3 linked regions of the Nothobranchius furzeri genome follow. The protein of the gene in region 2 interacts with the protein of the main gene of each other region in a pairwise test. Links are inferred from orthologs where the notes say so. Each region holds a gene or a part of one and is shown on either strand. Other genes may lie near its edges. The genes, in order: sgta, syt4 and nbr1a.

What was found.
Region 1: the proteins of syt4 (region 2) and sgta interact in binary tests that used the Homo sapiens proteins (3 or more experiments, as listed by UniProt). The two-hybrid records come from large-scale screens. The link is inferred for Nothobranchius furzeri from reciprocal best matches to the Homo sapiens genes SYT4 and SGTA.
Region 3: the proteins of syt4 (region 2) and nbr1a interact in binary tests that used the Homo sapiens proteins (3 or more experiments, as listed by UniProt). The two-hybrid records come from large-scale screens. The link is inferred for Nothobranchius furzeri from reciprocal best matches to the Homo sapiens genes SYT4 and NBR1.

The regions. Positions count from the first base shown.
Region 1 is NC_091748.1:79,890,803-79,895,138, reverse strand, and holds the start of sgta (small glutamine-rich tetratricopeptide repeat-containing protein alpha), read right to left. Parts: upstream 2,897-4,336; 5' UTR 2,757-2,896; intron 580-2,756; exon of another isoform or gene 335-579; intron 1-334. UniProt on the Homo sapiens protein: Co-chaperone that binds misfolded and hydrophobic patches-containing client proteins in the cytosol. Mediates their targeting to the endoplasmic reticulum but also regulates their sorting to the proteasome when targeting fails.
Region 2 is NC_091742.1:82,355,460-82,359,111, reverse strand, and holds part of syt4 (synaptotagmin-4), read right to left. Parts: intron 580-3,652; coding exon 459-579; intron 69-458; coding exon 1-68. UniProt on the Homo sapiens protein: Synaptotagmin family member which does not bind Ca(2+). Involved in neuronal dense core vesicles (DCVs) mobility through its interaction with KIF1A.
Region 3 is NC_091756.1:48,477,223-48,481,593, reverse strand, and holds the start of nbr1a (NBR1 autophagy cargo receptor a), read right to left. Parts: upstream 2,950-4,371; 5' UTR 2,820-2,949; coding exon 2,718-2,819; intron 2,394-2,717; coding exon 2,331-2,393; intron 1,843-2,330; coding exon 1,824-1,842; intron 1,744-1,823; coding exon 1,721-1,743; intron 1,549-1,720; coding exon 1,366-1,548; intron 1,210-1,365; coding exon 1,132-1,209; intron 662-1,131; coding exon 438-661; intron 326-437; coding exon 206-325; intron 1-205. Other genes in the region: psme3 (proteasome activator complex subunit 3), read left to right, coding at 3,090-3,131. UniProt on the Homo sapiens protein: Ubiquitin-binding autophagy adapter that participates in different processes including host defense or intracellular homeostasis.

The sequences.
Region 1 (4,336 bases), on a different chromosome or scaffold from region 2:
AAAACGCCTCACAACACATTTTTATCATGTTTCTTAAACAGTATTACACAAAATAAACATTTTTCACATTTCTCTAGCTAATTTAAACACTCCCGACTCAAAGTAAAAACCTCATGAGCTTCTTACTCTGAGCTTTTTAATAGTAAAAAAATTAGACTTTTTTTCTTAATATCTCCTGTTGCGGGCTATTTTGTAGAACGTAACCCTCAAAATAAATGATCACTGTATATTGTTAATTAATTCAAATAATTTAACATTGATTTAGTGTTGTAGTGTGTGTGCTGCTTTATTTTATATGTGTACTTATTTCAGTCTATTTGTGTTTCTTATGCAGAAAAAAACAAGCAACGATGGACAACTACATGGGGAAGAAGACACTCACCCCCCAGCAATGCATACCACTTACAAACTCTATTCTAAACATGCTGGTAAAAGACATGAGGCCACTATCCATGGTGGAAGGAGCAGGCTTCCAGCTAATGCTAAAAAATTATTCTGGACTGATATTTTGCACTGTTTAGCTCATTTTCTACTGCTGACTGTGTTCATGTGCAATAAAATAGATTGCAGTCAACTGCACAATTCTCTTATGTTTTTTTTTCTTAACTGAAATGCATCCATCACTTGTATAGGTTAAATAGCTAAACAGTAACAAACCGATAATCGATTAATCGAAAAAATAATCGACAGATTAATCGATTATGAAAATAATCGTTAGTTGCAGCCCTAAACGTAACACATGTCTATAACAGCATCAGTGGGGCTGGGTACCATGAAGTACTTATTCATACTACTACTTTAACGATGGCGAGAAGAGAGGATAACAAAGTACTTAAAGGTTGTGTTCTTTATATTATTTTATTATATTTATTGATATTATACTTTATTCCAGCAAAGCTGCAGTGCAAACAGTAAAGGCCCAACATGTAAACATGAATAAAGCAGCTTCATTAGTGCTGACTTCATGTCAGTAACAGCAGTTAACAACAACCTGCTGAACTGCTTTTATAACAGCAGCCAGGTCTGCTGTCATCAGCCTCCATCCTCACACTCCTCCAGGGCTTGGGAAGGTGATGGACTCGGGTTGACTTGGTTGCAGTCAGAGACGTTCCATGTTCCAGCTCTTAAGATGCCGCCCTGCACGACCAGGTGCTGGTGAAACTGCTGCTATTCCTGCTGATGCATTTAGCTGCTGCGTACTTTAGCTAAACGACCCAAACGTTTGTTTTCTAGTTAATGTTGCTGAAAGGAGACGCGCCTGCTCCACTCATAACGTGACCCGGGATCAGTCATGTGACCTGCAGTGGCACATCGGGACATTTTAACACTTTTTTCTGATATTTGGGACCTACCAAGGCCGGATTAACCATATGGGCAACTGGGCAATTGCCCAGGGGCCCATGAACTCTAAAGGGCCCAGGGCAGCAAGGGCAAGAGCAAAATACTGTATCTGTAATCTCCTGCTTTCAGTGGCGGCTGGCCAGTAGAGGGTGATAGGGCGCCGCCCTCCCAGTTTTCCCCAGTGTTTTTAATTTTAATTAAAAAAAAATAAATAAAATTAACAATAATCACATATTCTAAGTTAATTGTGTGATTTGTAACAAAAACAAATCATATATGTATATATCTATATTGGTGAGAAGCTCTCTGCCGAGCGGTGGAGGCGACAGAAAGGCTGTAGGCTGTGTTTCAATCGCCCAAACAGCACGGAAGCTGCCGGCCAATTGCTGACAAGAAAATCAAACGGTAGGAATGGGAATGTATCCAATCAGCGTCGACGTCGATTCAGAAGCATGATGGGCGATAGAGCTACCGCCAAAGGCTTTCGTTGGTATTCGGTAGAACTCGGAGAGTCTCGACTACTCCAGCACGTTTTTGGTCGTGACGCAGATGTAACATGGACGCCGCCGGTGACTACAACCAGCATGGATACCGGATCTCAGCAGCCACTGAATTCAGTTCGGTCTCTTCTCCAGTATCCGTTCGAGAGGAGAACTATGGTGGAAAACTTAATGTCAAAGAGCTTGGACCAGAAGAGAGGGCCTCAAGTTAAGACCCTCTCCTCATTGGTCAGTCCACACGAGGTGGGTCAAAGGTTACCCTGAGCGGGTTACGTGATGTCAGGCATTCAAGTATTGAGTATATTTACTGCATATTACAGTAAAATATTCTGTATGTGACCATATTGTGGTGATTCTTGGGTTGTTATGATGGGGCCCTTGAATATTGTTGCCCAGGGTAACAAAGTGTTAATCCGGCCCTGGGACCTACGAGTGTTTCCACTCAGTCCCAAAGAGGTCCAGAGTTCTGGAACCCGCCCTAGGCGTCAGTCAGCCTTTCTCATGAGCTGAGATGTTCTATGTTCCTCCTCTGCTGGAGGTCTGTGTGGTCCACGCGCACGCGCACACACACACACACACACACGGTGTGTGTTTACCGTTTTGGATCGCTGCTGTAGCGCGGGAGCTGAATACGTCACGTGTTCGGAGTATTTAGACCCGAGGCGGTTCTCTATTATTGGTTCCGCCACTCTATTTATGCTACGTTATAAAACAATAAGGTGTAATATAAAAATGATGGTGGTTGACAAATGAAACTCTAGAGGACAAACACGGTACGGGTCATTTACGTTCCGCACTCATTTTAGACCTTTTAAGGAATCATTTCCAAATTCCTAAATTCAACGCTGTTAGGACTTTTTAGACCCCGCGGAAAGCCTGCAGCCAGGACCGAACCGGAAGCTCGTCCCTACCCACCTGTCCTTCTGCAGGAGTCCGGATAACGAGCCAGTCCTCCGGGGCTCAGGCAGCTCCAGGGTCCGCAGAAACACCTCCACCTCTCCGGACACGAGCCTGCCCGTGACCTGGAGCTGCGTCCTGCTGAGGCTCCAGAGCCTCACAGGAAGTAAAGATAAAGTTAATAACCGTGTCTCTAAAATCCTCATAACGAATCATTTCCGCCTCCGACGAGCAGAAATGAAATAAATGAGGACAGACTTTTGCAGCTTTCCTCCTGAAGACGCGGTCAGCTAAAGGCGCGTGAGCGGGTTCATCTGAGGTGTTTAACTGGAATCTTTACCTGTTAAGTTGTTCTCACCTTTAAAACGATGGAAAAGGCGTTTGTATTTTTCAGCGCTACGGCGGCCCTACAGGGACAAACTACGTGAAGCGCGACTTTCCCTTTGACATCGCCCCCTGCTGGTCTGTTTGTATAGTTCATTTACTCCAATTATCCATAACATTATGACCACCGGTTTCCACTGAACGCGTCAGAACAGCAACCATGAGAAGCTTGACCTTTCAGCCTAAGAACCCACAGCTGGACTCCAAATTCAAACTCCCGCTTGAGTAGCGAACACTTGGAGAGTCATCCATTCACCACGGACTCCAGGGTGCACACACCTTATTTCAGACTTCAGTTAGGATTGATGACACTGAAGCGTTAACCATAAAATCCTGACCTGAGGTGATATTCAGACATTTGTGGACTGGCTTACATTTAAAATTACAGAATAATGAACCCTTCAAAAGTAGCAAAATACAAGATTCATTGGCAACCTTCTCATTTTTTTCTGTAAATATATATTTACGTTGTTGTTTTAATTAAAATAATTCACAATTTATCTCACAATTCTACATGTGTTATATATATATATATATATATATATATATATATATATATATATATATATATATATATATATATATATATATATATATATGTATATATATATATATATATATAAACACATGTAGAATTGTGAGATAAATTGTGAATTATTTTAATTAAAACAACAACGTAAATATATATTTACGTTGTTGTTTTAATTAAAATAATTCACAATTTATCTCACAATTCTACATGTGTTTATATATATATATATATATATATATATATATATATATATATATATATATATATATATATATATATATATATATATATATATATATATCAGATGTTTTAAATGTGCCTGCAGGTTAGGGTTGTTGTGGAATTACAAAGTTTTTGTTTAGTTTGGTTTTTTTCCTGCCAGGTGTTCATTGTTGAGTTTCTCGCTGCTGAACCTCATCAGCTAAGAGTTTTAGGTTATGTGCTCTAGTTAATGAAAGGAAGATTTAAAAGATTTTTTAAACCTTTATTTAACCAGGATAGAGACCCATTGAGGTTAAGAACCTGGCCAAGAGGCAGCAAAAATACAAACAGTTACAACGTCATGACAATGATAAAACACTCAGTCATTAGAAGCAGTTACAAGTTACTAATGCAATCTCTGAAGCTGTCAGTTTGGTTTTGAAGGCATTTAGTGAAACTTGCTCAGTCATTTTCCAGGTTT
Region 2 (3,652 bases):
CTTCACGTGGGTTTTCTTCTTACATATGCGCTTCTTGCCATGGTACATGTTGACCTTGACATATGGATCTAGAGAAGAATGACAGAGATGAAAATTAGAAAATATGTGCTTTAGATCCATCTTTACAGCAGTTACTTGCAGGACGTTATTCAAAGGAGAGATCAATTAAAAAAATCAATGGACAGGAAGTAATGGGCATTGCCAATGAGGTCAGAATAATCTGGCTGGGTAAGCATTGGGTGTATAGGTGTGAGTGTGAGTCACTATCACAGCCTGACTGGATTACTGTGGTTCAGCAGTGGTGAACCCTAACCCTAAAAGCAATTATCACCACTTCTTAAGTCAACAACATGTCTAGATGAGCAACGTTTATTTAGTCTGGTGTCTTTTCAAGTATCTTGAATAAATGTGTTGGCACAGTCCCAGAAATAATATTGAAATTATGAGACAAAACATACCTGTAGGTCCATTGTTTTCAGTTTTGGGTAGGTGGCGGGCTTTGAGGACAACAACAGTCAGAGTGTTGGTGGTGGACTGGTAACACAGCGACAGCAGCAACTCCCCTTGCCCTGAAGACTTCTGTGTAGAGACGATGATTGGAAATAAAAATGGCAGTGAGATGAAGAACAGAATTATTCTGGTTAGAGCTTTCCAAATGAGAGCCAAAATGGAATTTAAATCACAAACATCAAAGATGTTACAATATAGCCATTTCATTTGAAGTTAACCTAACATCACAGCTTCACCTTGATGTAAGCCATTGCATCATCATCAAACAAACTCTAGTCTCTCAACAGCAAGATGCATTGTAGAGAAAACATTTTAAATGAAAACCTCTCGATACATTAACACATTGATTACTATAACTGCATTAAAATGTCTAAAAACAGAAAAAATGTTAATGAAAATTATTATTCACAGCAGCAGGGTAAAATCTACATGAATCAGCAGTCAACACCTTAATTACTACTCTTAGTTTTTGTATTACAAATGGCCTATTTTATATTGCGCCTTCTACAGTCTTAGAACCCCCCAAGGGGCTTTACAACACTATCAATCATTCACCCATGCATGCACAGATTCACTCCCCGGTGGTGATGAGCTATGATGTAGCCACAGTTTCCCTGGGGCGCACTGGCAGATGCCATGAAATGTACCATTTGTTTACATGGAGGGGGTGGAGCTTAAAACATATTCTGCAGCCAGCCACTAGAGGGCCTTTTTTCTATATTCAGCTTCCGGATTGCTTTCCTTTTTTATAGTTTGCATGTAAGTTTTCAAATGGATCAATGATTACAAAATGCTTTTATTGGCATAAAACAAGAAAAGGTATCTTTAGAAATTAATTAATAATTTTAAGTTATATGTTAGATGAGATGAGTCGACCTTCAGATATATATCCATCCAACCATCCATTTTCTGAACCCCCTTGTCCACGTAGGGTCGTGGGAGGGGGGGGGGGGGGGGGGGGGGGGCTATCTCCAGCGGTCAATGGGCAATCAGGCGGGGTACACCCCGGACAGAGAGCCAGTCCATCGCAGCCTCAGATGTATATAAAAGTATTATGTTAGTTTCTCTAATACTAATCTACAGTTTTGCTGGTTAGAAATCCTGCTGCTATTGTTTCAGTCCTCACTTTTCACACCCGCTTCGAAGCAGGTGCTTTTCGTAACTTCTTCTTCTTCTGTGGTGTTATGAGATCTCGACTAACACACGTTTGTGAAACTCCCAAATCTATTTGTCACAGACTTGTCACTTTGATGGCGCTTCACAGACACAATTGTATCTGATTCCACACCCACGCCACACCCAAGAGGATTTTCCAAAGGTTTCCATGGAAATGGTTACACTTTCAGACCTCATTATACAGATTGTTCCAATGCATTTTATATCATTTCTCTGGGGAAATTCAGAGAGTTGACTAAAAGCAGTCATATGTTTTCTATCAGGAATATAAAACTTACTATATTGTTTAAAGCATCTTTGGGTGTCTAGAAAAGTGCTATATAAGTTCAATGCATTATTATTATTATTATTATTATTATTATTATTATTATTATTATTATTATTATTACTATATTGTACTTAATTCAGGAATTTGTCTGTGCTCACATATGCATGGTGACAAAACAGCGCACCCTACACCTACAGGCAAAGAAAGCCACCACCCTGCAAGAAAATGGCTACAGCTAAACACATAAATTAGGATACTGCATTTCAGTGAGTCTTGCACAGTTTAAAGTAACAATTTTAAATTGATTAAAAGTTGAATTGTATTCTAAATTGTTTTACTTCAACTGAAAGCATCACAAGTTGTTTTAAGGAAACGTGTTTTCTTCTTTTTACTTAAAAAAATCTAGAAAAAAATAAATCTAAAAGTAAAAATTCTCAGCCATCTTGGCAAAGCAGGTTCAGAGGGTGAATATTTGTATGAAAGGTTTATTATTTTTCTCTTTTATTCATTTTATTTATCTTATTTTATTTGTTTTAGCAATAAAATAAAGATAAATTTGAAATGGATGCTAAAAGTATTCAGAAGGGTGGGGTAACTCTAACCCTAACCCTATATTTAAAATAATACATGTTTAAAGCCTAATATTTAACTATACCTTAGTTGTGTTCATGAGAAAGGGACAAAGCATCACTGTTAGATGATTACTTCATCATTCTGCAAATCCCTGATTCTCTCTCACAGTCCATCAATCCATTTTCTTCCGCTTATCAGGAGTCGGGTCGCAGGGGCAACAGCCTAAGTCGAGAGGCCCAGAAGTCCTTATCCCCAGCTTGGGTTGGCTTTTCTGGGGGAAACTCAAGGCGTTCCCTGGCCAGGTGAGAGACATAGTCCCTCCAGCATGTCCAGGGTCTTCTTTTAGGTTTCCTCCCAGCTGGACGTGCCCAGAAAACATCACCAGGGAGGCTTCCAGCAGGCATCCTAACTAGATGCCAAAGCCACCTCAACTGATTACTGTGAGCCCCTCCTAGATGACTAAGCTTCTCACCCTATCTCTAAGGAAGAGTCCAGACGCCCTGTGGAGAAAACTCATTTCGGCCATGTATCTTGCTCTTTCGGTCTCTACCCAAAGCTTGTGAACATAGGTGAGGGTAGGAACGTAGATCGACCGGTAAATCAAGAGCGTTGCCTTCTGACTCAGCTTTTTTTCACATTCTCACACCCAAAGCGTCAAAATATGACACGTGTGACCAAGCGTCACAATATGACGATTTGGGATGCCCCAGTGTGTCAGGATAGGACGCATTGAGGATGCGCTGTCCCAGAGCACCGGTATCCGATGCCCGAGGTGAAAAGGGCATTTGACCGACTTGTGAACTACTTAACCTTCCCCTTGCCCCCATTCTAACCTTAACCAGCTTAGTTACTGAGTTAAGGTTAGGATTGGGGTGAGGGGAAGGTTAAATCGAGGAATAATGTCCGTGTCACCGCGAGCGTCAAATACGGATGCCAGCGGTGAAACGTGTCCCTGTGTGTCCTATCCTGACGCGCTGGGGCATCCCAAATCAACATATTGTGACACTTGGTCACACGCGTCATATTTTGACGCTTTGGGTGTGAGAATGTGTTGGTACAGCACCTGCATCACTGCAGATGAGCACCAATCCGCTTATCAATCTCACGCTCCATCTTTTCCTCACT
Region 3 (4,371 bases), on a different chromosome or scaffold from region 2:
ATCAAAAGTTTATTTTTCAAAACAAAAACACAAAAAAAAAAACCACATCCCCACTCAGTAATCTAGCTGCTAGAATAAATTGCAATCCTGCCTTGACTTGATTTATAATCATGTTTTTCTTTATTAGTGAAGATGTGACAACCAAAAGGCAACAACTTTAAATTACAACAAGAAGTAGACAGATGATCCTCAGTTTAAAGTTTACCTAAACTCTCCTGACATTCCATGCTCAGGAATGGAGAGAGGTGTCTTGGTTCTTACGAGGCTGTGACTGGGGTCGTGGCTGTGTCTGCACATCTCACAGAGGATGCAGGAAGGACACACACTGCCAGGAAAAGACAGAATGTATGAAAACATGATGCATGCTAATAAAAATCTACCCCTTATAATACAAAATGCTACATCATGTTGTTTTCTTGGAAGTCTTTCATGCCTACCTGCATTTATAAGCCCCTTCAGAGGTCAGTTTGTTGCAGGTGCTGCAGTTTGGGGTGTAGCCAAGCGATCCATTCGAAGCAGAGGGGCCCAATCCGGGTTCCACAAGACCTCCGCAAGCACCGCCAACCTCATGGAGTCCATCTGAGGATTTGTGGGTACAGCACTGCCCGGAGAAGTCGTTGCACATCTTCTCCACTACCTCCTTTACAACTTCATCCTTAAACTACCATAACAAAAGACTTGTTAGCTTTAGCAGAAGCTAAACACATTAACTCACAGGAACTGTTTTATTTAAAGAGCAAGTCACCCCCAAATAAACATTTTTTGCTGATAAACTAAATAAACGAGTGTCTAATCGTGCTGCAGACACGTGTCGTCAATAATTTGGCACTTCAGCGCATCTTAGTTAAAATTTAAATGTTCTGCCTAAAACTGGCAGTGTTGTGCCGTTGTCAGGTAAAAACTCTGCACTGTATTCTAATTTAAATCTGCCACCGCTATTGGCTAAGAGGTATGCTATGATGTAAACTGGTACGTTATGATGTCACAATGCTGTCGTGAGCCTGTGTATTTGTTAGCAGCTCCGCCCTCTCGGTCTGCCAGGCAACAGCATTTGTTGCATTTTTCAAACATGAAGTGGGAGTGGAGTAAGACTCTGGTAGGGGTTGACTTGCTCTTTCAGTGTGCTCTAACCTTTTCCATGTACGACCTGAACCACATAGGAGGAGGCTCATCTTCGGGCCTGTTCCCTTTGTTGTCTTTTACCGCTACCTGTACATAAATACATCATACGTATGTCAATGAAACAACACGCCGAGACAGAAATTGCCAAGACGATTTGTCCTACTTAGAAGTAAAAATACTATTAAATAAAATTTAAAAATTGCACACAAAGCAACAAATAACTAAAATGTGTTGTTTCCTTACAGTTTCACGCTCTGGGGTGACTTGAGTGCCTTTTTCCACAGTTTTGACTCTTGATGGGTAAGGGGGAGCAGGGCGGAGGTCTCCTTTAAGCTCCTTCACTTCTGTCTTCAGAGGACCTCCACAGGCCTGTCCTTTCATCTTATACACGTTCATGTGTAACTGGTTCCCCTGCTTCTCTGCGCTCTGTGGAGATGCAATAACATCACATAAAAGTTATAAAAGGAAAAACACACAAGAGAGGAACGTGTTGTTTAGATTTGGCTACATCTCGATAAGCATGCTCCTTTGTCTTTTGAGTCACTAATGACAAATTAGTTGCATGGCAACCAACTAAATGACACTAGGGTCACCTTACCTTGATGGCTTCTTCATATTCATCTGAAAAGCAAACAAAAACAAATGAAAACCTACATATTCTGTAGGACATGCCAAAATAATCCCAAACTATGTTTTCTTACCTTGACTGTTTATGCAAATCTGAAGCAAGAAGATAAATAAAATCATGATTAATTAATTATGTCATCTTTTTAAATGCAAAACTTTCGCCACTGGCCCATTTTTGTCTTATCATTGCCGTTTCCATTTCTTACATTCAAAAATAAATTGCTTTATAAATGTCACAATCTTTTTTGGACAGCTATGGTCACAAGTTTCTTTACGAATTGAGACTGACAAAGCACAACTGATTAGGTAAACACTGCTGATTGATTTGAGTGAATAATTGGCATTCAAAGCTCTTCTGTCAGAATTAGTTTTCAAACTATTTTATAAACAAACTTAAACCCAATTAAAACACATTGTTTTAAGTTAAGAAACGAGTAATAGCAATCTAATAAGATATAAAAGAATTGTTAATTATTTGAAAATTAAAACACATTTTAAATAAATATTTGTAACAATTTATTTAAAAATAAAGTCTAATACTTCCTGACTAGTGGTCATACTGTATTTTAAAAGCATCTCACCTCTTCATTATCTTCATCAAAGTATTTGACTTGAAAGTAGTTGATCCCAAACGATGCTTTGATCTGAAATATAATGTCGAAGAGTTCGGGTCAGATTTACCTATATGGTATTAAATCGATCATTCATCAGACGGACTGTGACATCAATAATAGAAGGCCTTCACAGGAAAAAAAATACATCGAAAATAGAAATATATGTGTAAAAATAAACGTAGAAGCCCAAACTAAACGTATTATTTCCCGCAGCTCTTGGAAAAATCGGGTATTTCCGCATATCCCGTTGACAGTATCGATTGTCCTTCAGGTGCGCTGCTGCTCGCGCATCTAGGCCGTGTCTGGGCCTGCTTTTCACCAAACTGCGCCAGCTTTTAGCCAGCAGCCGCTTACCCAGGCTTCGACGGACTCCCACTCCAATTTGTCCAAATCCTGAGCCAAAAACCTCTTTACATTCCCGCGGAAGTTGACCTTGATAGTGACTGGGAGCCCCATGACAGCCTTCTACGCTTTTTTAACTGAAACCATTTGCGACGATAGCGGACAGTATGATCCCTGTTTAGCTCTAGACTGCCGTTTCTTGTTTACATCGTCAGCTGCGTCGAGAAAATAACAGTGGCGTCTCGCGCAGGCGCACTCGAGCATCTGTCGCGTGCTGTTGTCGTCATTTGTAAGCTGACGTGAGTGTGGCTGAAAAGCAAGGAGCCACACGTTTACTGCATATGCCGGTGGGACAATCTTTACTTACGTATTTGATCACGGAAGATGTCTTCACTCCTCAAGGTGGACAATGAAATCAAAACCAAGGTGAGACTAGCGCGAGCGAAAGCTCCAGTGAAGGCTTTACTATATGTTATTGTTGATTGGTAGCATGTTAGCCACATTTGTAGCATGATATGCGCCAGTTTGCTAACAATTAACGATTGCTAACGTGCTTGTTTCCCGCCTGCTACCATACGTCTGGGAAACATTTTAGGCAGGTGCTGGAAGAGATAGATGATACGTTTTTCTGATGGACGATGTGAGGTTCCATTTTAATTTTCTCACTAGAAACCAAATATTGCACCGCTAGACCCACATGCGCCGAAGGCCTTAGCTACCACTGGGCTAACTCAACGTTTAACAGACCAATCGAAGTTCTTGTTAAACCTTGATAAAATCTAAACATCAGAATTCATTGGATACTTTGCTTCGAATTGCACGTAACTCGCTTGTTTTAAGTCCAGGTTGGAAACGAGTATTCTTGTCTAATCTTATCTTATATATCTTATTTTATATACAATTTTTAAAAATGTTTATTTTTTTCTGTTAGACACCTGTACTCCAAGTTCTAACAAACCAAGAGTAGACTTTTCTTTATATGTAAAATAAACTGCTTTTCCATATATATATATATATATATATTTACAGCGCCTTGTCTGGTTGTAATGCCATGTTGAATGCGCTTTATAAATAAAATGGTATGGTATGGTATGGTATGGTATATATATATATGTGTGTATGTATGTATATATATGTATATACAATATATATATATATATATATATATATATATATATATATATATATAGTGATACATTTAATTTAGCTTTTTTCATTTAAAGTGTCATATGATTTAGTCTACTTGTCAATTCTGCCACCTGCTGACATCAATCTGTACTTTCATTCTTAAAATGTCATCTATGTCTAATGTTTCCCACCTCAATTAGTAATTGTAATGTTAAATGTGATTTCAGTATTGGCCACAATCACCCACTGCCCAATAATCCAGCTACCCTAATACACAACAATACACAACATAGGTCATTTTGGTAACATATTGTGACGTTGACACTGAGTTCTTTTATCTTTCCACTGTCAGTGTCTGCTACACCCTCCGTCTGTCACTTTCGAGTTTTATCAGCTCTGCTTTAGCAGTTCAAATGTTAAAAAAAAACTATTTCACATCAGTTTCGTGGGCTCTGTATTTGATTAAAAAAATGGAATGACTTCTGCATCATTTACTGCATTGACGAAACCAAAACACAATCTTAATATCTTCTGAAAT